7 separate regions of the Mus musculus genome follow, and all the other regions are reported to be linked to region 1. The links are microRNA targets in miRTarBase. Many come from high-throughput screens and were not tested one by one. Region 1 holds a microRNA gene; each other region holds the end of a gene's coding sequence.

Region 1 (4,238 bases):
GCGCGCCTTCTGCAGCTCTTTGGTTTCAAGGACACAGCGAGCTGTTCAGGACTTTGGGAGCCAACATCTGTCTGACTGGTGACGTCAGCAGCCCGTGTAATCCTCTTGTGCTGAAGGCAGATGCCTTATTTGTTTGGCTGGAGCGAGCCATTAATCCCTAATTCTGGATCAGCAAGCGAGGGGGAAAGACCGGACCGCTACGATCCACCCCCTCCCTGCCCCCACCGCCCATCCTAAAGCACCTTATATCGCGGAAACCACTCAGCCTCCTCTTTCCTCCGAGAACACGCGGAGCAGCCCCTGAAAACGCTTTGGTCCTCTGCAGGTTTGAGCAGAGCTAGCAGCTCTTTCGCCTTTGGATTTCTAGGGCTATGCCTATATGAAATTCTTTATTTCATCGATCATTTCGATTTTCATGCGAGAACTCTTCAGTCTTGCAGTTTGCAGGATTCTAAACCAAGAAGGGGTGGAGATTGGAGAATGCGGTTCTGGCGTGTGGTCTGAGGGAGGGGTTAGATGGGTAAGGGCGCGCGGGATGCGCAAATCGCTGAGACTGCACAGAGGACAATCTGAGGACTCGCTTTCAAGACTCCATCTCAGGAAAACATTTCTCTCGTCCTGACTGCATCTTCTCACCTTCCGAAGCCGGGATTGAGTTGGGAACTCCCCTGTCGCCCCGCACATTGCAGGGGCTCCCCGAGCTCGATTCTATAGGTCCGGACGGCCGGTCACCTTGGCTCCCTAGAGTGATTCCTCCCTCCTCCTGTCCCTCCTCTCCAGTCTCCCCCTCCTCCCTCCTGCTCTAATTCTGCGCTTTGATTCTGTTTTTCAGGGGGAGCGCTCTGGGGTCTCCGCACAAAACCTGCTTTTGAGCCCTTTGGCTTTCTTCAGGCGAGCGCAGTCCGTCCATCCCCCTGGCCCACCCAGCCGCAAGGGATGCTGTGAAAAGAGCCGCTGCTTGCCGCCTCCGGCCTGCCGTCCAGAGGGCTCCGCCCGTAGAGGTCAACTCCCCTCATTCTTCTTCTTTCCATCTTGCCCTCCCTCCGCCGAGCCCAGACTCGGATCTCCTCCTGACTCCCGCCGCAGTCAGAGAGAGCGCATCTGCTGCGCTGCCCTTAAATCTACGCCCAGAGCGGGCTCAGACCCGATCTCTGCTCTCCAGAGCCGGAGGAAGCCCGAGCAAGCAGCCTTTTCTCTTCGCAGTAAAATCATAGCCAGACCAGATGGGCCCCAGCTCTCCCGGGACTCGGCAGGTGCTGTTGAGTTAATTTTTCCGCAATACAAAGAAGGAGGACCCAGCCGGCCTGGGATTCTGATCTTTTCCCAAAATTTCCCAACCAAAATCGGGCTATCAAAGGCGTATACGTGTGTTTGTCGGACATACAAACATGCATGATTATATTCGCTTTTTCTGCTAGATCTCTGGCAACAGGGGATGAGTGACAAAGGTTTCTGCAGCAGAACACTCATGGTGTGGTCCTTAAAGACTTGCCTTTCCTTACAAATGTCTTAGGACGGCATTCAGGGCGAACCAACTCAGTTAATTGCCTTCAGTAAAATAACACGATTACGAAATTAGATCTGTACCAGAGGGGTAATTAACTTCGATCCATGTCATCATTTGAAAACTAGATTTATAGACATATGTATGGGTTTTAGGTGCGCTGTAAATGGCATGCAGATGTATGCATAAGAATCGCAGACTCATGCACCCGCTACTCTTCAACCTTGCAGACTAATTAATGGCAACTCTGACAGATGTGGCGGGAGGAAAGCTGAGGTGGGAGTACTGCTCAGAGCTACAACTCTAGGAGTAGGGACTCCAAGCCTAGAGCTCCAAGAGAGGGTGAAGGGCAGGGAGAAAATTATAGTAATAGTTGCAATGAGTCACTTGCTTCTAGATCAAGATCAGAGACTCTGCTCTCCGTGTTCACAGCGGACCTTGATTTAATGTCATACAATTAAGGCACGCGGTGAATGCCAAGAGCGGAGCCTACGGCTGCACTTGAAGGACATCCGAGAGAAGTTAGGAAGGGTGGGGAGAAACAATTCTAGAATGAACCCATCCTGTGCGACACAAGGACCCCTCGCATTGATTCAAAATCTTTAGAATACAAGACAGTCAAATGTTTTTCAGCGAGAATCTGGGAAATCCGCATGCATACTCCCAAGGGGAATATTAGAGGTTTCATTGACAGCTGTCAGGAGAGCTGTAGTTCCCATTGGTGCAAACGGTCTAAGAGATGGCACTCAGAGAGTGCTGGCCTTTTCCAAATAAAATTCTGGGTCGAACTGGGAAAACAAAACGGATGAGAAACCCCAGACCACACTGCATAAGAAACCTCAAATGACTCAATTATCAGTGAAAATAGGACCCCCGCCCCAAGCTTTTCACTATTCTCCCATTCTTTACCCAGTCTCATGGTAGCCTTGACTGGATTTAAAAGGCCAAGGCAAAGTGACAATACCCAAATCAGTCAATATTGTCCAATAAGAGGGAAAGGCCAAGCCAGGAACTCTAAGACTTGGTAAATTAATGTATTTGGAAGACCATGAGGTACTTAGTTAAGGTAGGTTCCATAACCCGAAAGCCTAAGAAAACCACCGCTGAGAAAGAGCCTTGGTGGAAGTCTTTGTTCTGTGGTGGCCTATCTGGCCTGGGAACAAAGGAGAGGCTGGAGAAGGATAACCCAAAGTGGCCGCACCCTCGCCTTGCTGACAGGATCATCTTCCTCTTCCTCTTTCTTTTCCTCCTCCATTACCTCCTCCCCCTCCTCTTGTGGTAATTCTGCAAACAAGGCAATAGAATTATAGAATCGCTTCTTCTCTAACCCAGCCCCATACCCCAGGATATTAGTTAACTTACAAATAAAAACCTTGAAATACGGAAAGACAGGCTAAACAGTATTTTGCTGAAACCATCCACTCTGACAATCAGCTGATTTGGCCAGAAACCCGAGTAGTTAACAAAATGTGCTAGAGAGAGATTAAATAGATTTTTTTTCCTCTTAAATCACAATCTTGAAAAGAGAAACACACGGTTTTCAGTTGAGGATCTTATCTCAGATATGGTCACCAAAGATACCTCTCAAAGGACCCTAGAGTGTGCCTCAAAATATATTTAAAAGGTTCTGACTGAGGTTGATTTAGTGACCAGAGCAGGCAGGAGTAGAGAAGCCTGCAACCACTCTCGTGGCTCTCAGCAAGGCTTTCTGTGGGACAGCTTTCCTTACTGAGTTCTGAGGCCAAGGCCCACAGAGTGGCAGGGTGATGGTGCCCAGGAGCTGGCAGTGAGCCTCGCTCCTCACAGGAGGTACTGCAGTCCTAGGAGGCCTGAATCCCACAGTGCAGAGAAAACCATACTGCAGAGCACAGCTCACTAGGGAGGCAGAGTAGCTTACCAAATCCCATATAATGAAGATTTGTCTTAGGAGTCCTGGGTCAAATGTGTCTGAATTAATGCATTCAACATATATTTAAAATTATCAGCATTCTAATTTAAATATTGAGAGTATTGTATATAAATAGTAAAATATTAATTTCTATATTGAGTCATATGTGCAATGGAAAAAGTAATAGACAATAGATTGGTTTGTATTCAGCCGTGGGTCCAGGAAAGAAAATGTTCCATGCTTGAATTTCTTTGTAGATTCACATCATAAATACTGTCAAACATCAGTCATAGATAAACTAAACAAAGCTGTAAAGAGACACAGTGACAGTGATTTTTACCTGGGCATAGAAATGGTCCATAAATGAACAATGGCCTAAAAAATATGTTTTTATACTATTTCTTCTCTTCCACCTGAATGGTTGAAATGTAGCCAATGATTCAGGAAAAAATGAGCTCAGAAATGATATTCTTGGGGGTCTAGTTCCTATTCACTCCATCCTAAAAAGGTGGCTTTTAGTTTTGTTTTCTGATTTTAAAACTCTGTAAATTAGGATCTTTATATCCACAAATTTTAGGTTTGCATTTGATTTTACACAATCTGGGGGGGGGGGTGAGATGGCGATATCACACTTTGTTGGGACAAGAGCTACCTCAAACACAAAGAAACCCCCTCTTGTGTCGCTGAAAAAAAAAAAAAAAAAAAAAAAAAAAAAAACTCACCAGAAATGGGAATGGGTTTGAAGTGCTGAAGGTTGTCATGGATGCTCCTCCTTCCAGCAACGACCTAGTTATTCTGGTGGTCTCTCCTCACAATCCCCTGAGCTCCTCACAAAGCAAAAAGGGT
Region 2 (4,238 bases), not on the chromosome of region 1:
ATTTTGTCAGGCATTAAAATGGCTACATGGGCTTGATTCTTGGGTCCATTTTTAACTATAACTTGTTAGATGCAAATCCTCCCTACCATGCCAAGATACAATCTGAGGCAGAGATTCTTGGGAGCTTAACCAAAATGTGAAACAGACAGCAGTTGAAGACTCCTAACCAGTGACACTTCCAACATCTGTGGCAGTCACTCCTTAATCAAATCTACTCCTCTCCCAATCAAATTTATCTACAATCTACAAATAGTTTCCTAAAGGTCATAGCAAACCTTACTGAATAAACTCTGTAGAATACTGACAAACACCAGCCAGTAGCTGGTTTCCAAACCAAGGCTCTTTATACAAGCTGACCCAGTATCTCCGTTCTGGACAGCTGTCAGCACCACAATGAAGTACAACATCAACTCTGCGCCTCAGTACCCATGCTAGGAAGACTGGAAGCACAAATCTTGCTGACAGCTGCTCAGCTCACTGACCATTTAGGTATCTGGTACCTCTTCCCTGGTGGAGATTCTCCAGTGGTAGTACTCTTTTCAAGCCTGTCACCATTCCTCTATCTTCCCACATACTTCATTCTGCATACCTGTACTAATTTGGCCACTACTTCTGTTATAGTCTCTGTAACCAGACAAGCCACTCACCGTGGCCTATGAGTTTTGTTTTGTTTTGTTTTTTTTTTTTTTTTTTTTTTTTGCACATTTTTAACTTTAGGTCTTGTTTCCACACAAAGTACAAGGCCAACTGCAACATTTAAATCTACTCATTGACTTTTTCACTTGCCACCATCTTTCAGGGTGTTCAGACCTATGGTACTTTTATTGTAAACTTAATCCACAAGCAGCATTTTCATCTGTGACCTGAAATCGTGCTTTCTCCTCTTGTCTGTTAACTGGCTGAATGGGATTCCCCTCAAATCATGTGTTCGCGTAGGCGATAGTGGATTATCTGGGAACCCTGGCTCACTAAGGGATTTACAGCCAGCACCAACTTCATCTTAAAATGTATTGTTGCTCCCAAATGACTTAGTAGATCTGGTGAAACAGAGCTAAACAGGGGTTTTACGGCATATGATCATTTTATAAACCATGGTTAGAGGCTTCTCCTCTACAAGGGTCTGGTTAAGCAGTGTTTTTCAGAAGGTAGTGAAGTGGCTGCTGTAGATAGCATGGTAGGAAGGATCACCCGTCAATAAAACCTAATAGCCAGTAGAGTAAGGCAGGGTTAGAAGGTGCCATGTCCAGCAGAAAGAAAGTCAGGGGAGATTTTGAAGGACAGCAGAGAAGAAATCAGCCACATAGCTGACACAGGTTAGAATAAATGGAATAATAAGTTAAGAGCTAGTCAGGGACTGAGCCTAGCTCATGGCCTAGGCATTTATTAATGATATGAAGCCTCTGAATGGATATTCAGGAACTGGGACATGGTAGAAAAGTCCATGGATATACAGTATTAGGAAAATAAAAAAGGTATTTCCCCCAAATCTGATACTACTAAGTGATACTATGGGCAATTTATGTAACCTCTGTTCAGTTTCCTCAGTAACAGAATTCTGATAAAGATTACCTTATTGAGTTATGTGAGGACTAAGTAAGAAAATACATATAAACAAGAAGTGTTTGGCCGGGCGTGGTGGCGCATGCCTTTAATCCCAGCACTTGGGAGGCAGAGGCAGGCGGATTTCTGAGTTCGAGGCCAGCCTGGTCTACAGAGTGAGTTCCAGGACAGCCAGGGCTACACAGAGAAACCTTGTCTTGAAAAAAACCCAAAACCAAAAAAAAAAAAAACCCAAACCAAAACCAAACAAACAAACAAACAAACAAAAGAAATGTTTGGCTTAAGTTATTAATGTTAGTTAACCCACCTTCTTATGAATATATGAAAAGTCACTATTTAACAACTTTTCTATATTGAAATAAAAACTGTAGTACTACAAAAATTTAGCATGTCTCACAGAAATTTAATATATGCACAAAAATATGAGTGAAACTATATATAAAATACAAAAACAAAAGAAAACAAAACAGAAAGGCATACAAGGAAATAATTTATAGACAAAGGAAATCACACAAAATAGTCACTTATAAGCTTAAGACAGCAATTCAACGCTATTTTATAATTGCCTAATACAAAATATTAACAGCTGGCATTGACTAGATTGTGATCAAATTAGAATACCACTATTAGAGACAGGGTAAATAAACACAACTATTTTGACCAATAGTTTATAACCCCTTGGAAAACAAAACATTGTGTAGGTCCATTATCTGAGATTTCTACTATGCATCAGTCAGTATTTTCAGCCTACTGCCACTTCCCTCCAGATGAAATAATTTCCAAAATGTTCCAGGGTACAAATGACTTAAGGTCTATATAACACCACATATATAAGTTTGAGAAATGTCCAACTCAGGGCCTGTATGACACAACAAAGAAAGTAGAACATCAAGGAACTAAGGGTTAAGTATCAGGACGAAACATGGGCCCCATCTGTCCAATCCAATCAGATCACATTAGCGCTCTGAGGATTACGGGCATGAGGTGCTGATGTGGAAATGTACGTAGAGACAGTAAGAGCTGCAGGATCTCAGGGTGTGTACTGGGCCCCTCCTGCTTTCTAAAGGAGTTTTACCTTTGACCCAGACAAGCAGAAGGCACCAAGAATTTCATCAATCATGAAGCTTTGGAGGTTTTTTTGGTAGAGAAGACAGACTTAGTTACCTTTACCAGACTCTTATAAAATATACTTTTCATTTAATCTGCTAGGTCCTACATTCACCAAAAAATTATTGATTAGATTATGAGAAGTCTGATAGAAATCTTACAAAATATTACAGGACTGTAGATAGAATAATCCAAGTGTAATACTGTGTAATAACACATTTCTTCCCAAGCTCCTACTAAAATACTCAAAGCTAAAAAACACTCAAATTTCAAGCTTGTGGAGATCAATTATTAAACATACATAAACATGATAGTCCAACCTCACTAACGTGAAAGTCTCTCCAGATCCATTTCCCAGCCAAGGATCTGGCATGCTGTCTCCACAGGACTGACCTCAAGTAGCTCGGTGTATGCATAATTGCTATGTGTTCCCTTTAATGGTCCAGTGACTTTCTTTACAACTATTCTGTATCTGAATGATTTTATAAGCAAAAGAAAAGTCATTAATACTGTACTTAGAAATTAAACTAGTTAAAAGCTGACTGTCAGCTATATTTATCCTATAACTTCATCTGTTTCTTTGTATTTTGGGCATTTGCATACACAATTTACCAACTATATGTACCTCAGGTTCTTTAATACATACAAAAGATTTTTGTAAGAAAAAAATTGATGATATACATGCAATCACAACTACAATAATTGGACCATAATCACACTAGGTAAGAAAAGAGGAATCTGCAATTTTAAAAGTGCTAAAAAGAATTACATATGAAAATAATGTTAACATTATTATATAAACAACTTGGATCCCAAATTCTTGGAAGTTCATGTGTAAAAACGTCAAGGTGAGAAGTCTGTACTCTGAACTGGCATGCACTCAGTTGGGTTCTTTTCCTCTGGACTTTGCTTCCTTCGGAATCTTCCCAGCTTGACTCTGCGTAAATCTGGCTACTGTAGAAACACCATCCACAAACTTGGTTTTGAAGAGAACGTTTGCATTGTTGAACATACCTTCTTTGAGGGATACCACAATGAACTTAAGGAAAGAGAAAAAAGAAAAAAACATTAAAGAAAATATTCTTAAAGTTGTTCACTCTCTAAAGAGGATTTAAGAATTGAATGGAGCACAAAAACAAAAAAGTAAAAGCAGACCATGGGATGGGAAGGGGTGGTGGAGGCATAAGGAAAACAGCAAGAAAAATGGTAAACTGTGGTGGTGGTGTGTGTGTGTGTGTGTGTGTCTCTGTGTAAATATAAATGTTCCCATCTAGACTGACATAGAAGCTAAGGACTAACACACTAATAGTAGGCATATAAACATGAGAAGCTTCTGAGTTGATGGTCAGGATTTCCCAAGTACCTTGTAAAACACAAAGGCCATTACTATTGCCCCTGGTTACCTCCCAGAAGTGGAAGCTACACTACTGCTAAGGATACTATGAGCTTTGGACAAAGTATCTGCAGGCTACTTGCTGATTGATTCTGACCTGAAAGCCTCTTTCCTGAGGCTTAGCTTTTTCATGGTATCAGAAGGTGCCATGCAGTTTTCAAGGAGGGTAGTCAACCAA
Region 3 (4,238 bases), not on the chromosome of region 1:
TCACTCTGTAGACCAGGCTGGCCTCAAACTTAGAAATCTGTCTGTCTCTGCCTCCCAAGTGCTGGGATTAAAGGCATGTGCCACCACTGCCCAGCTTTGTGTGTGTGTGTGCACCACATGTACACTGCCCATGGAGTCCAGAAGAGGGTAGGATCCTGAAACTGGATGATTGTGAACCACTATGTGAGGGCTAGGAACAAAAGCTCAGTCTGCTACAGGAGCACAAAGTGCTCTTAACCCCCGAGCCTTTCCTCCAGACCTCTTCTTAGCTTTTGATCCTTGCTGTCTTTTGGCAGATGAAGTCAGCTAGTCCTCTCCTTGAAGTATGTTAAAGCCAAGGAAGGTGTGGTAGAAATGGTCAGATGTTTATTCTGTCTGCTTGATTTTTACAGAGGGGATAGTATATTCCATGGTAGGGGAAAGCGGAGTGACATGCCCTTTGGTCTAGGAGATGAGTTTAAGGTAATTATACTATCCATCTTGTAGGAGTTGAATTTTGTTAATATATATTTAGTGGTTATGAGTTTTGTTCCTAAAGATCTTTTAAGAAATATTCTTATATTCTCCCCTCATTTCCTCCCCTAGGGAATAACTCAAAGTTTTCTTTGGACCATATACCAGTTGGAAATCAAGGTGGTGGAGATGAAGATGTTCAGTTCAGACCATTTTTTGTGTGTTCTCCCACAGCGCCTGAACCCATTAACAACTTCTTTAGTTTTGCATCTCCAAGCCATGAAGCAGAGCAGCAAGTCTGCAGCAGGGCCTTTAAAGCAAAAAGAATTTAGCTCATTTTTCATTCCTGCATCCCTGAGTTCTCTTCACATTTCGACCTTAGAAGAAGTTGGCTTGCAGTAGGGCGTGTGGCTTCCTGTTTGGTTTCTTGATTGTTAGCTTAGGGCATGGGCATTTCATGAATCTCAGTCTCTACGTTTGTCATTGCTCACACAATCACATTGTTGCACAGATCCTGATTCAGACCAAGCTGTGTTTATGCTCATAGAAGCCTCAGTGTTATGTTTCCCTGGAGCTTTGGATTGATTCTACCGTGTTTATGTTAAATGTGTGCATTGATTTTTCTCTGCTAGTATATTTCTGTAAAAATAATGGTCTTGGAAAATGATGGCCAAAAATGATAGTCTTGGAAAATGGTGGCTTTCCATTAACATGTATTTTAACAGTCATGTATTTTCATTTGTGTTACTTTGTTTTGGAGGTGCACTTATGCCAGTGAATGAATGTGCAATTTGATGCATATGAATTGTTTATATGTAAAAATAATTTATACTGATAAAGTTATTTGTTGATTTCATTGTTATTTGTTTCAAAATAAAACTGCTTCTTTACTTTTTCTTTTTTCTTTTCTTTTTGGCTTTTTGAGACAGGGTTTCTCTGTGTAACCCTGGCTGTCTTGGAACTCACTTTGTAGACCAGGCTGGCCTTGAACTCAGAAGTCTGCCGGCCTCTGCTTCCAAAATGCTGGAATTAAAGGCGTGAGCCACCACCACCCGGCATATTTTTATTTTTAATTATCTGTGTCCCTGTGCACAAGAGTGTGAAGACTTTGGTCTCTAGCATTCTAATTACCTAATCTAAAATGCTGAATAAAGGCCATCTTTATTGAGCTGTACAGCAAATATAGTCATGAGGACCCAAGTGGTGGTGATGTACAACTTTTATCTCAGGAGACAGAGGCAAGCAGATTTCTAAGTTTGAGGCCAGCCTGGTCTACAGAGTGAATTCTAGGACAGCCAGGGCTGCACAGAGAAACCCTGTCTCAAGAACCTATACAAACCAAAAAGGACCAAGTAGCTTTTGCTTAGTCTTCTATGCAAATCTTATAAGGGAGAAAATTGTTTTTCTGGCCTTGCTTACAGAACATTGCTAAGGCTGTGAATTCAGGTGAGCCCGGAGATGCACTGGAGGTCCAGAGTGTAGTAAGACTGACTCTACAGTGTTCTCTTGGTTCAGTCAATTCTGAACAGGTTGACTATAAAGTACGAGTGGTTCCTACTTAGAAATGACCTCAAAGCACATTAACATGGTTACAGATTAGGTGAAAGATTTGTGAAGGTCAACTTTAATCAGAACTTATCAAGCCATTCCTATACTAGTGCTGCTGACTATAAGAAGGTATATTAATGCTTTTAAACAGTTTTTCTTTATCAAGTACTATTTCTGACTTATAGGGTAATTGTGCCTAGTTAGTACATTCAATTAGTGTTCCACTAGAGGGCGAACAGTAACTGGATTCCAAGGGTTTTCCCTCCACATACACCAGTGTGAGACGGAGTTAACCTTTCTAGCTTTGTTTTTGTGGAGACATTATTATTATTATTTTTCAGGCCTGAGCTTACTATGGAGATGGTCAGTGAATTTTGCCAGATAAGGACACTTGGTGACAGTCTGTTTCCAGAGGTTGGGGATGGTGGGGGCAAGACCCACAGTAGCTGTGGGTCTTAAAGGTGGCATCAATGGTGGCCTTGGCAAAGTTGTCCATGGTGGCAAGTACAGCCCCTGGTTGATGGGTAGCAGTTATCAATACTGGCCAGCAATCATGAGCTTCTTGGGGACAGGAGCAGAGACATGCCAGTGCCTCTGGGAGCAGGGATAAGATGCACCAACAGAGACACAGTGACTTGTCATCTTGCATGGCACAGTGTGGGGCTTGCCAGTCTTGCTTCCCTAGTCGCCTTTCTGCACAGGGCAGAAAGCTTGGTTGAGATGATTGCCCCTTGATGGCATTGCCTACCTCCCTGAAGCACCTAACACCAAGACCAATAAGTGAAAATACATATTTTATAGCTAGTAAAAAGATTTTAGATTATAGTTTAAGAAATATTCTTTCTATGAGATTTTTCAATTTTGTTGGAAAAATATAAGGAAATAGGCATCTTGAACAGTTTGAAATATAAGTAGGGTAAATTTGAAAAAAATTTAATTATAAACTGTCAGGAATATTATGTTTCTTAAAAAAGTTAATTTTAATTTGCATGTCAGGCTTTTCATTTTTTATGATTTCTTTTTTTTTTTTTTTACCTTATGTGCATTAGTGTTTTTGCCTGCATGCATGTATGCCTGTGTAAGTGTGTCAGATAGCTTAGAACTGGAATTATAGTCAGTTGTGGTCTGCCATGTGGGTGTTAGGAACTGAACCTGGATCCTCTGGAAAGGCAGCAAGTGCTCTTAACTACTGCACCATCTCGACTGCCCCATTGTGGGCTCTTTTAAAGGCATGAAAAAAAGCAGAGGGAATTGTAGGCTTAGATTTTTTTTTCAAAACGTACTTTAATAAGGGTCCTTAAATTCTTTAACTTCACTTCTAGCCTCCCACCCACCAGAGGTCATGCAAAAGAAAGGTTATTAGGACACGGGAAGTGGACCTGTTTAGTTTAGAAAGAGTTCTTTGGGTGATTCCAATCTTTGTTGTCAGCATTATCAGCAGTTCACTCTACTAGCAAACTACCACACACCAATCAGCAGATGCAGTTCCATCCACTCAGCAGACACCACATACGAGTTCAGCAGCTGTAGCTGGATTCAGAATAAACTGAGAGGCTCTGCTGGGTCGGTGTGGAGTCTGTGGAAATGGCAAGAAGCCGTCGGAATATCATGAGAAGTTCTTGGGTGAGTTACTCTCTGTTAAGATCAGTGAGAAGCAGAGATCAGCAAGGTGGTGCAAGGCCTAGAGCGCTATCAACTGAGACTAGCGAGGTGCAAGATGAGCCAAAGCACAAGCCTTGTCCCACTCACTGTCTGTGGGATCATATTTATATTCTTTCTCAAGTGTCTGCTTCAGCTAAACATCCTCTCACCTGTGTCTGCTTCAGCCAAACATCCTTTCACCTGTCTGCCCCAGCAAAGCATTATGACCTGAGTCTCCAGAAATTTCCACTTCAGGAAATGATCACTTTTTTTCTTTGTCTCTGCTGCACAGTCTTTTTGGAAGCATTTGGAGGTGTTTAATGTCTTTTTGCAGAGATAATTTTTTTAGCAAAGGAATTTTAAAAGTTTTAAGATTGTGGTTGGATGTGGTGATGCCTGTCTGTAATCTCAGGACTTAGAAGGCAGAGACAGGAGGAACTCCTTGAGTTCGAGGTCAGCCTGATCTACATACAGACTTTCAGACAATTGAGGTTACATAGTGAGACCGTGTCTCAAAACTTAAAAACCAGGGGTAACGAATGTCTATAATCCAAGCACTTGGAAGTGGTTGCAGGAAGATCAGGGATTCAAGGTTA
Region 4 (4,238 bases), not on the chromosome of region 1:
AGCTTCCGATTTTTAATGTCTCCCACCTCCAGAGTGAAGGTGGCAGCCACCCAGGCAGGGCCGGAAGTGGCTCAGCCAGCCCTGTGCCTGTCACAGAGGAGTCAGAAGCCTCTCGAGGCATCCTTGGCCAGGCCAAAGCAGCCTTGATGTCTGCCTTGTCATTTATGCAGTTAAGTTCAGCCTTGAACACCTTCCCGGCTCCCTCCTCCTCATTCACCCAGGGTAGGAGAGCTAAAGGATGGTTTTCCCAGAATGCCTTGCAGATCTATTTCTGGACCAGAGACTACCTAGGGACCCCGGCCCCTTCCCCAAAGAGTGCAAATGTCTGACCATGTCTCACCTCTTCAGGCTCTGAACACAGCTTCTGTGACTAGGGCCAGAGCAGTTATCTTGGAATCCTACCTGGCCCTCAGTTTGTGAAGTACTTGCCTACTAGACCCATGGGCCCCAAATTCTGTCGACACATAAAAACTAAGTTACGGAGGCAAGAGAATCAGGAATTCAGACACCCTTAGAGGTGTCTAGCCTTAGAGGCTAGCCTGAGCTACAAGAGACCCCATCTCAAACACACACAGCTAACCATGATCCAACTCCTTCAGAGCGTCTGTGTCTAAGAATCATGAGAGTATCTTCTGATTAAAGCAGGGGTCATGATAGGATATCATCTGAACAAGGGTCTGGGATTTCTGACTGAACTGGTTGGCCCTCCTCAGTCTGTAGGATGAGAGGCAAGGCCTGGGAACTGCTGTGTGGCTCCACCTCAGAGAAGGCTGGCTAAAAATAAACCTGGGGTCTGAAGACAGAACATTGAAAATGACACTGTCACTTTGACGGAGTGCCCGACCAAGCCACCATGAACAGTGACCATCCATCACCAACCTCTGCATTTCATGTGGGGAGCCGAGATACCAGGATGGAAGGGGACAGGTAGGTGGGACAAGAGGGAAGTGGCTGCCTAGCCAGAAATGCCAACGCATAACCCCCCAGCCCGTGGCACACCGGTCAGTCCCCAGGCTACTGCCATGAAATGAGACAAGCAGAGGGGCTAAACCCCATGTTTAATTTGCTAGGTCAACCATGTAGGGAAGCAGACCTCACAGAACTGTCACACCCCGAGTCCCTGCTAAGTCAGAGTAAGAAAACAATGAGTTATGGGATAGAGAATTTATAAGAACCTGCGTTCTCAAGAGGTGAGACTGGCACAGCTGAGTTATTTGGCTCAGCAGTTAAGGGCATTGGCTGATCTCCCCAGGGCTCACAAGAGGGTTCCACACTATCCTGAACTGCCCTCTTCTGGCCTCCGTGGGCACTGCATGCGTGTAATTCACATACATATTCGGGGTAAAACATTCATACACATAAAAGTCTCTTTTTTTATTTTACTTTATATGATTACACTGTCACTGTCTTCAGACACACCAGAACAGGGTATCAGATCCCATTAGAGATGGTTGTGAGCCACCATGTGGTTGCTGGGAATTGAACTCAGGACCTCTGGAAAAACAGTCAGTGCTCTTAACCACTGAGCCACCTCTCCAGCCCCATAAGTCTCTTTTTAAACGGGCTGGTATATAACTCAGTGCTATACAGCACCAGCCTAGCACATGAGGCCCCATGTTCCATCCGCTATACCATCAAATTAAATGAATGTAACAGGAGAACGGAAAAGAGCAAGGCCCAGACACATCCTCAATTGTGTAGCCCCCTAGAAATCACACAAGAAGCCTGATTCAGATTACCCACCTCCATGATGTCCCTTCCTCCTCTGGGAACCTTTGGGGACATGTGTGGCAAGAGGGATTGGGGAACCTGATGCTTACTAGCACACAGCAAAGGGAAGAAAACCGGTGGCCACAGGAATGGCCAGGGTCCAAGATACATACTATAAACGGGATGAGAGCCCACCAAGGCTTTAGAGATAACAGACAGGCCCTGGCTGAGGTAGCAGACACCCAGACAACCCTAATAACAGGAAGAGGCAGGAAGGGACTCTTGCAGAACCTTTAGGAGCCAGCCCTGTGCACACTGGTGGGGCCACCTCGGGCTCTGACCCCTGAACTAGGAGCCCCTGGTCAAGGCCCCATGACAACCAATCAACGGGAAACTGCAAAAGGTCCCCTCAGTGCTCAGGCCCCCAAGCGCCCCTGCAGCACAGCCAGTGGGGCTCAGGCAGCTTGACCTGACACATTCCAGGAAAGCCATCACTCTGCTGAAGCCAGGCTTCCGTCACTCACCCTTCCTGCAGGAATGGGTACAGGAACAGGAAGGCTTGGTGGGAACGAACCAGATGACACCACCAGGCAGCCGATCAGACAACCACACCAGGAACGATGGAGCACACAGCACAAAGCGGGGACCAGATGCTCCTGTATCCTAGAGATCAGGACTGCTACCCACTCTCTGTGGTAGGAAGGCTATGGAGGGCTGAGCTGGGTGTCTGTGGCTAGGTGGCAAAAATCCAAGGAGACTCCCGTGATAAAGTCGCCCTGTAATCCAGCTCCAGGAAGCAGGGAGGCCCAGGATATGGGGAGGCCCAGGGCAACACCGGCTTAACACAAACCAAGACAATGCTAAACACCAAGAGCTCAGGAAACACCATTATACATCTTGTGCTGGGTCACACCACCTCACAGCTCAGCAGTGAGCTGACACTGGTACGGCCAGCCAAATGTGGAGTCCCATCACCTCAGAGAAACACACGCGTACTGCACTTGTACAGGTGTGCATGGCACAGATTTATTCCATAAAATTCTTCATAGCACTTTTCCTTTATAGACTTAAGATCCAGGATATCTTTAAAAGGTTTTATGTTGTGCTCAGTTTTTAAAAAAAAAAATACAAAAGCAATCACCAGGATTTATGACATATTCCGTGTGCTAGAGGAGAAGCACCATTAAGTCCTGGCAGCCAAAGCCTGAGACTTCATTTACAAATGTAGAGGACAGTCACAATAGAAAGAGCCCAGGAACTATTAGGAGGGAGCACGGGGCCATTTCCCTCTGAGGCGGGGCAGCTCCATCCCTGGCGGACTCCAGGATCACACTGCCCAGCACACAGCTAAGTGGTAACCTGGGGTAGACACCCAGGGATTCAAGTGCCCCCAGGCCCTCAATTAACATTAAACCGTTTGACCCATTCAAACACTGTGCTGGTAAGACCCAGAAACAGTCGGGGACACCCGACAGCAGAGGGGACTTGCCATAGCAGAGAGCTCTTGGCTGTCTGGACAATTCACTCACCATTCCCTAGAATGGTGTTCTGGCCTTGGTAGACGGTACAGGAGCCGTCAGCCCAGGTGTCCCAACAGCCAGCTGTGAGGTGACAGGCATGCTGGGCCAGGTGCCCTGGCTTTAGTCAGCTCTTGAGAAGACAGTAACGCTGAGGAAGCCAGGCCAGTTAAGGACAGAGAGTATAGGTAAGACTTCACCTTCATAGAGCGAGATACAACAGCGGGCTCATGAGGCTGAAGGCCACATCGCTCCTCCAGTGTGCTGTCACCAAATGTCACCAGCCCTGCCCCTGCAAGGCTGTGTGCTGACCTATAGCAGCAGGGCCGAGACAAGCCTCAGTGTATGCTTAGGGTCTCCGAAGGCCAGGCACATCCTGGAGCTCGGGAGACCTGGCCCCCACCAATGACTCCGAAAGAGGAAAGCTGTTCCTGAGCCTGTGGAGTGTGCAGTGCCAGGGCCACCTGGAGCAGCTGTTGTCTCTAAAGTGTCCCTAAGTTCCATCACATGCACAGCTGGATGGAGTGCGAGCTGCTGGCTCAGAAGTCCTGCAGCTCAGGGATGTCCCGGTACAGGTCGAGGGTCTCGGGGTTGGAGAAGGCCCCCCGGTGCTCCACAGTCCTCCCAGCCATCACCTGCTTCACGGCCACCTCCACTTTCTTGCCATTGAGTGTGTACTGTGGGGCAGACACAGAGAACACAGAAAGGAGTGTTTAAACCAGAGACGGCAGAGCAGCCCTGACTCTGGCTTCTCCTCCATATTCGCTTCCAAAAAGATCCATAAACCCAGCTATGCGGTGGCTTCGAACACATGCCACGGCACCTACAGACACCTGAGGGAACCCGCTGGTGACGACAGCCAAGGCAGTGCTGACACTGTCCACGGAACCATGCCACACAACTCTATGCCTGGGTCAAAACCACATGAGCACAGGGGTGTCTCCAATGCTGTGCACCTCACCAGGCACGTGTGCAGGTGCTCTGGAGGGGCCACATGGTCCTTGCCTCAGG
Region 5 (4,238 bases), not on the chromosome of region 1:
ACCTTGGGCAAGTCCCTCAACCTTTGTTAGCTTCCTGAGGGGACAACAACACCTTCCAGGATGCTTGCAGAGAAGTCACTGGGAAGGTGTTTATTCTAGTGCTCCGGAGCCAGCAGGAAGTAGGCAAGGCCTGATAGGTTTGTTAAAATCAAAACAACAAAACCCACACAAAACCAAGCTGCTCATCTGGTCAAGGAACTAGAGACTAAATATGGCTCTGTCTAGACCAATGGCTCTCAACCTTCCTAATGCTGAGACCCTTTAACACAGTTCCTCATGTTGTGGTGACCCCCTGCCCCCAACCATACAATTACTTCATCGCTACTTCATAACTGTAATTTTGCTACTGTTATGAATCACAATGTAAATATCAGATATGTGACCCCCCCCCCCAAAGAGGCCATCTGCAGGTTAAAAACCAATGGTCTAGAAGGTTGTCATGAACCTGAAAGATGTTCTGAGCTGGCAGGTAACCCCATGGCTGTGCTCTGAGCACAACGCTGGGCTTCAAAAGTCAAAGGAAGACCAACAGAGTCTCCTAACTGGACCCTTGGGGCTCTCAGAATCTGATTCACCAACCAAAGAACATACAAGGGCTGGACCTAGGCTTCCTATTCATATCTAGCTGATGTACAGCTTGACCTTCATGTGGGTCCTGAATAACTGGAATGGGGGCTACCCCAAAAGCTGTTGCCTGTACTTGGAATGTGTTCTACTAGCTGGGCTGCTTTGTCTGACCTCAGTGGGAGAGGAAGCACCTAGTTGCACAGAGATTTGAAGTGGTAGGGTTGGGGTGCGGGGTGGTGTGTGTGGGGAGGGAGGATACCCAGGAAAAAGAGGCTGGACAGACCTCTCCTCACCACAGTGCCTGGCATTCCGGGTGATGGGTTTTTCTGCCTTTTGTTGATCTGAACGCTCGATACAGTTCTCCATAATGAGCAGCTGGCTGTTATCTGGTGACGACCTAAGAGCTTCTAAGAGGTGCATGCAAAGGGGAAATTTTGGCCACCTTGCAGGAATCTTTCGAGGGCCACAAGGACCATGGAACAGGTTCCTCTTCTTGAGCTCATTTCAAGCAGCTCATTCTCCCTGTCCCCAAACCCTCTTCACCGATGCTAAAGTGGACCAGCTCCCCCTCCTGAGCGTGAGTGACAAGGGACCCAAAGGTGGACACTTCCACTCATTTCCACACCGTTTCTGCCTGTCTGGGCCTATCAGGCCTAAATAGGAAGGGAGGGAATGAAGCAGTCGTCCCAGCTTCTGCTTCTCCAAGATAGGAAACTGGGGCAGAGAAGAGAGAGGCTTTGTTTTTAGGTGTGGTCTCAGGTCTCCTAAATCATATTCAACCCGAGTGATTAGAGTACTCACTCACCCAGAATACATGAAGTCATGGGTTCGATCCCTAACCCCCCCCCCCACAGCAGTCACAGTGGGGCACACCTGTAATCTCTGTGCTAAGGAGGCATTGCCTCAAGTTCGAGGCTAGCCTGGGGTTATATAGCAAGACTCTGTCCCAAAACACAAAGCAACGGCAACAGCAACAGCAACAGCAGCAGCAGCAGCAACAACAACAACAACAACATCAACAAAAGTCATAGCCATTTCTGTCTGTCTAAAGGCAGTGCACACTCCACAAGGCTTGAAGAACCACAGGCTCACTCTCCAGAACCCGTCCTCCCCAGCAGCCTTAAAGATGACTGTACCTTGCTGGGCACATGACCATAGCATTTTCTGCTTTTGTTTGCAGCCATCTGGAAATCACATGCAATATAAATAGGGATGAACTCAGAATCCCACGCTGGAGAGATGGCTCAGCGGTTAAGAGCACTGACTGCTCTTTCAGAGGTCCTGAGTTCAAATCCCAGCAACCACATGGCGGCTCACAACTGTCCATAGCTCCAAGATTTGACACCCTCACATTCAGACATACATGCAGGCAAAACACCAATGCACATGAAATAAAAATAAATAAATAAATAAAATTAAAAAAAGAAGAAATTAGAATCTCTCCCAGTCCCCACCCCCTCTATGAGACAAGGTCTCACTATGTAGCTCAGACTGGCCTAGAACCTGCTATCCTCTTACCTCAGCTTCCCAAGTGCTGGGATTTATAGGTGTACATCCGGAATGCTAGACTACACTTCTTTTTGACATAATTGAAGGAGACAGAAACAAGCACCTGTTCATTTCTCAGTCATCCTGAAGACCTACTATGCACCTGGCTGGCTTGTGATCTGGATCAAAGCACCAGAGACAATTGTCCACTACAGAAAGTCCCCAAATGGGACTAGCAAGAGGGATCAGTTGGTAGAGGCGTTTGCTACAAAGTCTGATGCATGTGAGTCCCATCCCCGGGATCCATCTGGAGGAAGGGTCCCAAATGTTGTCCTCTGGTCTCTGCACACACATACACACACACACACACACACACACACACACACACACACACACACACACACACACAGAGTAAAAAAAAAAATGAAATAAAAAAAGGAACAAAACTAAAGCTAAAGCCACTAGCTTAGTTGTCCTTAACCTTCCTAAGGCTGTGACTTTTTAATACACTTCCTCACATTGTGGTGATCCCTGACCATAAAATTATTTCTGGTGCTACTTCATAACTGTAATTATGTAATTATAATGTAACTATCTGTGTTTTCTGATAGTCTCAGGTGAGCCCTGTGAAAGGTTTGTTGTCTTTTTTTTTTCTCCTGGGGGTCTCGACTCATAGTTTGAGAATTACTGCCCTAGTGGGTGGGGGAGGGGTCTTTGTAACTGTCAAGTTGTAATTTTGGGGACACCTACCCTGACTCTCAAGATACTGGATGAAAAAAAGACCACACAGAGTTGAGGGAAAAAAGAATTTTTTTATTAATCTTTCTTTTTTGTTAAAAAAAAGTTGATTTTTTTTTGTTTTTTTTTTTGTTTGTTTGTTTTTGTATTTTTTTGTGTGTGTTTTATTTTGTTGTTGTTGTTTTTTTTTGTAAACCTCTTTCTGGCTCCCCTCCCCAACTCTGCCCCACCCTCCTCTTAAAAATATAAAAATGTCCAGCCCCAGATAACTAGAGTACAATAAATAAACAGTAGACACAAAAACATACTTTATTTGTTTCTTCTTTATACAAAATAAGGAAACTAGAAGCGTCCGACTTCCAAAAAAGTATAATACTGTTCGTCCTGATGGCCCAGCCTCCAGGTCCCGGGCAGGGAGAGTGATCCGTGGGCAAATGCTCAATGACTTGGCGCCCGGCTCAGGGTCAGAGCAGGGTGGGAGGGTTCGAATCCTGCCAGGCCCCTCAGACTCAAAGTATGGAGGAGCAGGGAGTTGGGCTCAGGAAGGCCAGGCCCAGACCGCGCACCTTCCTAGACAAGCTGACATTGAGCCACCAGGGGGCGCCAACTCGCAGGTGGATTTGTCTTCCTGCAAAGCCACCATTCACCGGCGGTCCTCCTCATTTTTCTTCTCTGGCTGAGCTTTCCTCAGCTCGCTCGCGCTCTCTCTCTCTCTCTCTCTCTCTCTCTCTCTCTCTCTCTCTCTCTCTCTCTCTCTCTCTCTCTCTCTCTCTCTCTCTCTCTTTCTCTCCCCCTTTCAACCTCTCTTTCTTTCTTTCCTTCCTTCCTTCCTTCCTTCTTTCTTTCTTTTTTTAAAAGAGAAAGTGAGAAATAGGATTTCACAATGCCTCGGCTCGCAGGGAGGGGTAGTGCCATGGTCTCCGCTCCTTGGCCTCATCCCCCTCTCTTAGTTCAAGGAGGTGATGATGGGTGGGGGATCCGGAGGGCTTCTAAGATGTGCTTGGAATCTCGACCCTTCAGAATATTGACTTTGGTCCCGAGAAATTGCGCAGGCGCGTGCCAAAGCTCTGAGGGGTGGTGATGCGAGTGGCCTGGTTGGGTGCGAACCCACGAGAGGACTCTTGAGGCTTACCCAGGCGGCGTCCCGTCCCGGGCTTGGTGGCAGGGGGACAACTCAGCCCCTCGGCCTTACCATACGGCCGCTTCGTTGAGCTCAGGGTTGGGGTGCGACAGGGGTCCACTGTAGCCGCTGGTGCCGCTCATGGGGAAGGGCGGGCTGGGCCCGCCGCTGAACACCTCTCCCGGCATGGGGTGCAGCGCACCGGGCAGGCCCGGCTCGGGGCTCGGCGTGTCCGGATGCGAGATCATGTCGGTGAATCTGGGGTTGTCCGCGCCGTGAGGCCCGGCCAGCGGCGGTTCCAGCGCGCCCAGCGGCGTCGAGCCAG
Region 6 (4,238 bases), not on the chromosome of region 1:
TTGTGGGGTAGGGTACTGGGGATATATAACATAGTGTCTCTGGGCTGTTAAAACAGCCGGGCCAGCTGGTGGCACATGCTCCCAAGCCTCCCAGTGCTCACTTTACTGTGGCAGACCTATCTTAGCCTTCCTTCCAAGGTGATGGGTAGTGGCTGGAGCTTGTACTGGCTGGCTGGCTGCTGGTCCCAGCACTAATCCCATCCAGGGCTGGTCTACAACTCCTCTGGCACGGAACCCTGTTATGACATCTACCGGTTATACCAAAGCTGTGCTGACCCCACTGGCTGTGGCACTGGCTCTGACGCTAGGGCTTGGGACTACCAGGTTTGTGGACAGAGAGGAGCTAAATTACCAAGCATAGGGGTTGGGTGTGTGGCTTGCCTGTCTGACTTATTTTACTGTGGGGCACCTACAGGCCTGTACGGAGATCAATCTGACCTTTGACAGCAACAATGTGACAGACATGTTTCCTGAAATCCCATTCTCTGAAGAACTCCGCCAGCAATACTGTCTGGATACATGGGGCGTGTGGCCTCGGCAAGACTGGCTGCAGACCAGCTTCTGGGGTGGTGGTAAAGGCCTGGGCTGGTGTTTGGGAGTTGGATGCTGGGAAGGATCCTGTCCTCTGTCCTGAGCTGGTTCTGCAGTGCCCAGATGCAGCTCACAGCTTTAAAGCCCTGGATAATTTGCCACCACTTGCTGTGTTCCTTTTAGACCTTAAAGCAGCCAGCAACATCATTTTCTCCAACGGTGACCTAGACCCCTGGGCAGGGGGCGGGGTAAGTCCAGGCCTGGCAGCTGCTGGCCCCATGTGGGTATTCTGGGCAGTGCTTGAACTGCATTGCTAGGCTCCTCATACAACTTTGCCTTTGCGATTGACACTCAGGTTCACCTGGCCCAATTCATCTGTTGCTCCAGTCCTCATTATTTCCTCTTCTCTCTTTTGGGTTGCTTTTTTTCCCCCTACATCACTTGATGTATAGTCTAACATCTGGCCCATCACATCCAACCTTTTCTTTCCAATGGAGCTATCTGAAACTGTGCAGTAAGCTCATTATTGCTTCAGTTGCATCCCAAAGACAGTATTGGCATCTATGTCAGGGTGCAAGGGTGGGACAGGGCTTGCCTACCTGTGGCTTAAAGCACAGACTACATGCCTCAGATTCTTCCAACAGATCCAGAGCAACCTGAGTACATCAGTCATTGCTGTCACCATCCAGGGGGGAGCACATCACCTAGATCTCAGGTACAGTGTAGTGCAGCCCACCTCCAGGCCACTGTTGGGTTGTGGATTAGATGGACATGATGCTGACCCTGTCTGCTTGCCAGCTGAGTATCCTTACCCCTTATCTGTCTGCTTCTTAGAGCATCTAACTCAGAAGACCCCCCATCTGTCGTGGAGGTGCGTAAGCTGGAATCTACCCTCATTCGTGAGTGGGTAGCAGCAGCCAGACTAAAGCAACCAGCAATGCCACGGTGGCCTGGGCCTAAGAAGCAGCACCCTTCCAGATAAGATGCAGCAAACCCCAGACATCCCTTGTTTTATGTGATCTACAGTGGTGTGACAACTTGCCTTGTATCTGATGGACTGTCCAGATTTATGGTAGATGGAAGAAACTGAATAAACACATGTTAATGTGTCCTTGTCTAGTAGGATCCATGCATGGAAGGATGAGATAATTGGAGATATGCTCTACACAAAGTAACACTGCACACAGCTTGCTGAGACCATTTAGACATTTAATTAAGCAGGGACTCTAGCTCTCAGGTTTCCTGCTTTGGAGGAGGAGGGAAACCTGCCTCTACTGGGCACCAGCCTCCCCTTCCAGGCCCATTCCCATCTTGTATGCTTTAATGAGGCTCCCAGCTTTGTGGACATCTACCCAGTTTCTCTGATCCACAGTACCTCTTCAGAGGGCCACAGGGCAGTTACTGTCATCCCTTGACACCAGCCATAGTTTGGCAGGAGATGGAGAATACACTTCTCAATGCTTAGGCCCTGGGCGCCGCCTGAACCTGTCCATTCACAAGCCTATGGGGCTCCGGTAGAGGAGGACAGCATAGGGAGAAGCTAACATCAACCAAAGGGTTATAACTGATGGGGGGGGGGGGGGGTGGAGGGCGGCAGCTTCTACCCATAAACTCAAGGCCTAAGGATATGTGACCAGCCAAGTCCTTCTTTGTAAACACCTTTGGTGTTAGAACTGGCTTGGGGTCCACGTGTTTAACAGGAAGTCCCCAGCGTAGCTACTATACCTCAGAGGCACAAGGTGGCTGCCACTGAGCTGCAGATGAGTTAGTTAGCATGTCAAATCTCCAGATCTTGGGATATACAGGGAACACAGGCCCAGAGCCTTGAGGTCCTTTCTATTCTGTCCAGTTTGCCCTATGCTGTACTGCATGGAATTGGATAGGAGAATCCTAGCCAAGGCCCAGGGATAGTCTAGTAACAACTCATCAAAGACAGGGCCTACTCCATGGGCTCAGACACCAAGGCACAACTACCACAAACCTATCAGCCGGCAGCAGCATGTGATCTTCACAGGCCCTTGTGAGACGGCACAACCAAGCATCCTAGCCTGTTTGTATAATGGCCCCAAAGCCTTCCTACCTGAAGTGGACAGGAGCTCTGACTTTAGAGGGTAGTTGCTGAGATGTTATCCAGAGAACCTGCTGTCCCCTTAAGGTCAGTCTAGATAGACACCACCCCTTCCCTCCTCTCCACAAGAACCATTACAGTGGGACCAAGTCCACTTTCTTCTCAGCTGAGAGATCACATTATACCAGGGTATCCTGGGAATAAGACAAATTTACTGTTCTAACCCCCGCCAGCCCAGTAGGGTAGCCAGGAGGATCCCTGAGTCCAACCCGTAAACACTAGAGCCACAAAGACCCTCAAGGTCACACTGGCCCAGTGGACCCATGGGTCAATCAGGAGTCAGGGCTATCACAGGCCATTGGGCCATGCCCAGCACCTCACTGGTTTGGGCTATCACTCTGAACTCAATACAGGCACTGGGGTCCTGGGTGGTCCCAGGAGGTGATAAGAAGTCTTGGGACTACCATGGGGCTGCCGGTAGCCAGCCAACAGGGTCATTCAGGTATGGGAATCAGGAGCCATGATATGAGGTTTCGAGGAAGTCAAAGGCTTGGTAGACTTTCCAGCCTAAACCCCAGAACCCATACCTGCTAGTCTGACTCCTGCCCCTCCCACCACCTTCATGAAAAGTTGAAACTGGAGGGACCTACAACTGGGCAGGTACATCACACTTGACAGCTGCCCAAAACTATGTGGGCCTTGTGAAGGTCAGGGACCCAACAGGCCCACCTCAGTCTCCATCAGTGCCCAGACCAGGTGCTCTCCTCCTACGCAGGAGCCCAGATGGGGAGGGGATGGGCTTCTGTGTTGAACACACAGCTGTCCAGACTGAGCAGCTCCAGGTCATCAGAAAAGAGCAGGTACAAGTACTTCAGGGTTTCCCCCACAAAGAAGCTCTCCATCTTGTCCCTGGGCTCAGGCTTGTGGGAATTCTGGACGTTGTTGATAGAAGAATAGCCACCTGAGGGGACCTGCATAAGAGCCAAAGCCTCAATGACACAGGTTGAGCCAAGCCTTGTGAAGAACTTCTAGCTAGACGTGTCACTCAGGCTACTTGTTCAACCCCACATATATGGCCCCAGGGTAGGCTCCATCCTAGCAACTACCCAGGTAATGTCCAAGGTCAACCACAGTTCTACACAGGACCCTGTAAAATGCCAATAACCCCCAAGTGGCCAGAAAATACCTCCAAGAAGGGTACAGCTACAGGACATGACCAGGGTCTAGCTTGTTAAACACAACCCAGGGCAGGCACAGGCAAGAAGCTGGAGTTGTTGAGGTCTGGAGCAAAGAGCTAGGTGTCACACTTAGACCACATCCAGCTCTATAACCTTTTCTGGCCATGTCACAGTAAGAGAGAAGGCAAGGTAGGCCATGGACCCCAGTTGGGGAGGGGTAATGTGTGAGGTCAGTACTCTGGCTCACTGTGAGTGTTTCATAAGCCAAGGGTATGACAGGGCAAGAGAAAAAAGACCCTTCTCAGAAAAGCTTGGGTCCTGAGAATGAGCCCGGAAACACTGGGCATCTCTAAGCCTGTAAAGACAACAGGGCCTTGACACCACCAAGCTCAGCAGGATGACTACACTATCAAGGTCACAGACAACTAGGGAGCAGCTAACTGGAGGCCTCAGAAAACTGA
Region 7 (4,238 bases), not on the chromosome of region 1:
GCACAGGACACTCACAGTAAGTTCCACCCTGGTGTGTTGGCTGAGGGCTGGAGTTCAAAGGTGGATGATAAAGCCAGGATACTGCCTGGGTTAGGATTTCCATTGCTAAGAAGCCCATGACCAAGGTAAGGCATAAAGGACTACATTTAATTGGGGCTGGCTTACAGATTCTGAGGAATCCGTTATCATGGCGAGAAGCACGGCAATGTCTGTACAGCATGGCGTTGGAGGAGCTGAGCGGTCTACAACTTGTTCCAAAGCCAAAACAGAAGACTGGCTTCAGGCAACTAGCATGAAGGTCTTTGAGCCAACCCCCTCGGTAACACACTTCTTCCAACAAGGTCACAGCTCCCAACTGTGCCACTCCCTATGGCCAGGCGTATTCAAACCACCACCCTGGCTCACCACTGTAATTCCAACAGTCGGGGAGTGGAAATAAGAGGATCAAGAGTTCAAGGCTAGCTGGGCTAAGTGAGACCTTTCAGTAAAGCCCATTTTGGTCTGATGGGGTTGGAGGTTTGTGCCCGGTGTCCTGTGGTCACCAAGTTGGGACCCAGCCTTCCATGATGTCACACAGTATGGCAGGATCTGTGGGTCCTGGCTTGAATATCAGTATACAGAGATATTTCGCAAACCCAGAAGGCATCTTGCTCATCTGTCCGTCTCTTCAGCATGGGGCTGTGCCTGATGTCCATCACTAGATGGAGTTCTAGTCTCTAAGTCCCTGGAAGTTTCTAGAACAGCATTTGCAGCTGGTTTCTCTGCAACTGTCGGGATCTTGCTTTGCCTGTTAGGGTCCACTGGTAGTCGTGAATGACTATTGGGATCTTGAATTTGAGGGAATGGATTTTTATATTTATTCATTTATTTGGGTTTTCAAGGAACTCACTCTGTAGACCAGGCTCTGTGGACTCCAGAAATCTGCCTGCCTCTGTCTCCTGAGTGCTGGGATTAAAGGCATGCACCACCACTGCCCAGGCAGAAACCATTTCCTAAATTAAGAAAAATAACATGAGGGGCTGGTGAGATGGCTCAGTGGGTAAGAGCACCCGACTGCTCTTCCGAAGGTCCGAAGTTCAAATCCCAGCAACCACATGGTGGCTCACAACCATCCCTAATGAGATCTGATGCCCTCTGCTGGTGCATCTGAAGACTGCTACAGTGTCCTTACATATAATAAATAAATAAATAAATAAATAAATAAAACTCCGAAGAAAAATAACATGAAAAGTAGACATGTTGGTGTATGTGCCAAAAAATGGTCCATGTGCCGGAGAGGTGGCTTAATGGTTAAGAGCACTTGCTGTTATGACAGAAGTTGGGGTTCTTTTCTCAGCCCCAAAATAACTCCAGTTCTGCAGGGTCTGACCACCTTATTGGCCTTGGAGGGACTGCATGCACACAGTACACAGGCATGCAGGCAAAACATCCATATACATCATTTAATTTGTTTTTTCAAGATGGGTTCTATGTATAGCCCTAGTTATCCTGGATCTCACTCTGTAGGCTAGGCTAGTCCCAAACTTATATTTCCCCTGACTCTGCTCCTTTAGAATTGGGATTAAAAGGTGTGTGCCACTAGTGCCTGGCAGAAATTGTTTGTTTGTTTTTGTTTTTGTTTTTTGGTTTCTCTGTGTAGCCCCTGGCTTTCCTGGAACTTACTCTGAAGACAGGCCTGGCCTCAAACTCACAGATTCACTTACGTCTGCCTTCAGAGTGTGTGCTCCACCACCTCCCAGCAAGGAAATCCATTTTAATTTTAATAGTCATATGTAGGTTCTTGCCACCATATTGAATAGTTTAGTTCTAGAACTTTCTAGACACCCCCCACACACACACACACACACAAGGTTTTGTCATAGAGGTTAAGCTGGGCTTGAATTTGTGATCTAATTCTTTTGTACCTCTGAAATTTCCTATAGCCTCCAAAATGCTAGAGTTATAGGCATGTGCCACTACACCAGGTGTCGTAGTTTAAATTCACTGTTGCTATGATAAAACACAATAGCAAAATGCAAATTTAGGAGGAAAAGGTTGGGGAAAAAAAAAACCACACTTCCATATGACTGTTCATCTTTGGATGAAATCAGGCGAAGAACTCAAGCAAGGCAGGAACCTGAAGTCAGGAGTGGATGCAGGGGCCACGGAGGGTGCTGCTTACTGGCTTGCTCAGCCAACTTTCTTATAAAACGGTGCCTACAATCCCAGGGTAGCAAAACCCACAATATACAGGGCTCTCCCCATCAACTGCTAATTACAAAATGAGTTAACATGGCTAGACTTTGGCTCAGTGGTTAAGAAACCTGGTTGGTCTTCCAGAGGACTCAGTTCAATCCCCAGCATCTATGTGACAGTTTATAACTGCCTGCAACTCCTGTTCCAGGGACCCTAACACCTCACATAGATATATATGCAGACTAAATACCAATGCGTAAAAAATAAATTTGAATTAAGAAATGAAGGCAGCTGGGCGTGGTGACGCATGCCTTTAATCCCAGTACTCAGGAGGCAGAGGCAGGCGGATTTCTGAGTTTGAGGCCAGCCGGGTCTACAAAGTGAGTTCCAGGACAGCAGGGCTATACAGAGAAGCCCTGTCTCCTGTCTTGAAAAAACCAAAAAAAAAAAAAAAAAAAAAGAAAGACAAGAAAGCAAATGTGCTACATGCTTTCCTACAGACTGATCTCACAGAGGCAGTTTCTCAGTTGGGGCTCCCTTCTCTCAGATTGTACCTTGTGTCAGGTTGACATAAACTATCCAGCGCCAGACATGGTGGCGCTCTCCTTTAATCCCAGCACTTGGGAGGCAGAGGCAGGTGGATTTCTGAGTTCGAGGCCAGCCTGGTCTACAGAGTGAGTTCCAGGACAGCTAGGGCTACACAGAGAAACCCTGTCTCAAAAACAAAAAACAAAAAACAAAACAAACAAACAAAAAAACCTATCCAGCACATGTGCAGGTGCCACAGCATTCAAGATAGCAGAGAAATGCAGAAATTGATTCTTGCCCTCCCACTCCCCCACAGCCATATGGGTTTTGATATCTGAACTCAGAAAGTTAGGCTTGGCAGCAAACACCTTTACCTGATTGGCCATCTAGCCAGATTACCATTCCCATTTAGAAAAATAAATAGTGTGGCATGGTGGCGCACATCTTTAACCCCAGTACTTAGGAGGTAGAGGCAGGTAAATCTCTCAGTTCAAGGCCAGCCTGGACTACAGAGTGAGTTCCAGGACAGCCAGGGCTACACAGGGAAACCCTGTTTCGGAAAACCAAAACAAAGCAATAAAATCATCAAACCAACCAACAACAAACTGAAAATCTGGGCTGTGGATGCAGAGTGTGGGCCCTTGCCTAGCAGGCATGCGACTCTAGGTCCATCTCTAACAACTCCTCAAATAAAAAGCATCTCCAGTTGTTGGCAGTGATATTTATTTTTCTGAAAGATGGGGCTTATATACAGCAGTGACAAGATGCTCCCCCCACCTACAGGGTCTTGTGGGGAAAGGAGGAGGTATTGACAGAAGGCACACAGTGGTAGCCCCAGGAGGCCAGGAAGTAAAAGTAAGAGGGTGTAGTGTGTCCTGGGGAACCCAGAGGATGAAACAGAGGCTCAGCTAGAGCGAGCCTTGGTCCACACAGTAAGTGTGAGGCAGCTGGTCCCGAGAGCTTGTGCTGGTCACTTGAGGCTATTTGGCTACAGCAGGACACAGGGACATCCTCCATCCTTCTTCCTGGGAGCACTAGGTGGGCTAGGAGGGAGTTCTTGTTCCTGGTATTTCCTGTGGGAAGCAGTCTGTGAGTGTGTGATGCAGGGCTGATGACCGGGAGGTCAGGAAGGGGATACCGGGCTTACCGGACAGCGCGCACCAGCTGCTCAAATGCCTCATCGACATTCAGACGCAGTTTGGCTGAGGCCTCAAAGTAAGTCATGTGGTGGGAAGCACTGAAAGAGGAGGCTTCAGACCGGAGGACCTGGAGAAAGACAGAGGGAGGAGGACAAAGGGAGGCGTCGGAGAGAGGAGATGCTGAAAGCCGCCGCAAGGTGTGCTCGACTGTATAACTGCAGCAGGCTCAAGATAGAAAGTTCTAGAAAGACCCCAGAGGAGGCTACTGGAGGGTTGAAGTGATATCAGTGAGATGTCAGGAAGATTATGAAGGTGTTTTAGGTAACTGGAAGGCAGGCAGGCAAGAAGTAAGGGTGTTCTTGTTCAGGACAGGGGAACCAGTATCAACGGATTAGT

Evidence for each region. Region 1 holds the annotated microRNA mmu-miR-124-3p (UAAGGCACGCGGUGAAUGCC, at 1,963-1,982, shown strand). A microRNA usually pairs through its seed, bases 2 to 8, with sites in the 3' UTR of a target mRNA and lowers its output. Matches are read on the target gene's strand: a 7mer-m8 pairs with bases 2 to 8, a 7mer-A1 pairs with bases 2 to 7 and ends in A, and an 8mer does both.
Region 2: the mRNA of Smc2 is a reported target of mmu-miR-124-3p. Seed matches in the 3' UTR shown: 7mer-m8 at 2,655-2,661.
Region 3: the mRNA of Ccnb1ip1 is a reported target of mmu-miR-124-3p. The part of its 3' UTR that is shown has no 7-base or 8-base seed match.
Region 4: miRTarBase lists Aacs as a target of mmu-miR-124-3p. The part of its 3' UTR that is shown has no 7-base or 8-base seed match.
Region 5: miRTarBase lists Lhx5 as a target of mmu-miR-124-3p. The part of its 3' UTR that is shown has no 7-base or 8-base seed match.
Region 6: the mRNA of Man1b1 is a reported target of mmu-miR-124-3p. Seed matches in the 3' UTR shown: 7mer-m8 at 2,493-2,499.
Region 7: miRTarBase lists Rras as a target of mmu-miR-124-3p. Seed matches in the 3' UTR shown: 7mer-m8 at 3,519-3,525.

What each region holds. Positions count from the first base shown.
Region 1 is chr3:17,793,761-17,797,998 of GRCm38, forward strand. It overlaps Mir124a-2 (microRNA 124a-2), which reads left to right and starts at 1,902; the gene lies at 1,902-2,010. Mir124-2hg (Mir124-2 host gene (non-protein coding)) reads left to right here. Exons shown (of 3, transcript NR_033490.1): 2 at 833-1,253. It overlaps Gm51272 (predicted gene, 51272), which reads right to left and starts at 1,981; the gene lies at 1,925-1,981.
Region 2 is chr4:52,485,965-52,490,202 of GRCm38, reverse strand. Smc2 (structural maintenance of chromosomes 2) reads right to left here. Exons shown (of 25, transcript NM_001301412.1): 25 at 1,838-3,706. The coding sequence ends at 3,548. Among named protein-coding and RNA genes, the nearest start is that of Smc2, 49 kb to the right of the region's middle.
Region 3 is chr14:50,786,360-50,790,597 of GRCm38, reverse strand. Ccnb1ip1 (cyclin B1 interacting protein 1) reads left to right here. Exons shown (of 4, transcript NM_001111119.1): 4 at 586-1,349. The coding sequence ends at 785. Among named protein-coding and RNA genes, the nearest start is that of Ttc5, 3.0 kb to the right of the region's middle.
Region 4 is chr5:125,515,882-125,520,119 of GRCm38, reverse strand. Aacs (acetoacetyl-CoA synthetase) reads right to left here. Exons shown (of 18, transcript NM_030210.2): 18 at 2,715-3,904. The coding sequence ends at 3,767. Among named protein-coding and RNA genes, the nearest start is that of Tmem132b, 14 kb to the left of the region's middle.
Region 5 is chr5:120,440,069-120,444,306 of GRCm38, reverse strand. It overlaps Lhx5 (LIM homeobox protein 5), which reads right to left. Exons shown (of 5, transcript NM_008499.5): 5 at 2,850-4,238. The coding sequence ends at 3,982. Among named protein-coding and RNA genes, the nearest start is that of Lhx5, 10 kb to the right of the region's middle.
Region 6 is chr2:25,349,694-25,353,931 of GRCm38, reverse strand. It overlaps Man1b1 (mannosidase, alpha, class 1B, member 1), which reads right to left. Exons shown (of 13, transcript NM_001029983.2): 13 at 1,719-3,570. The coding sequence ends at 3,367. Dpp7 (dipeptidylpeptidase 7) reads left to right here. Exons shown (of 13, transcript NM_031843.2): 9 at 206-324; 10 at 416-572; 11 at 715-779; 12 at 1,176-1,246; 13 at 1,366-1,642. The coding sequence ends at 1,513. Among named protein-coding and RNA genes, the nearest start is that of Dpp7, 4.5 kb to the left of the region's middle.
Region 7 is chr7:45,020,818-45,025,055 of GRCm38, reverse strand. It overlaps Rras (related RAS viral (r-ras) oncogene), which reads right to left. Exons shown (of 6, transcript NM_009101.3): 5 at 3,851-3,969; 6 at 3,410-3,776. The coding sequence ends at 3,692. Among named protein-coding and RNA genes, the nearest start is that of Rras, 5.0 kb to the right of the region's middle.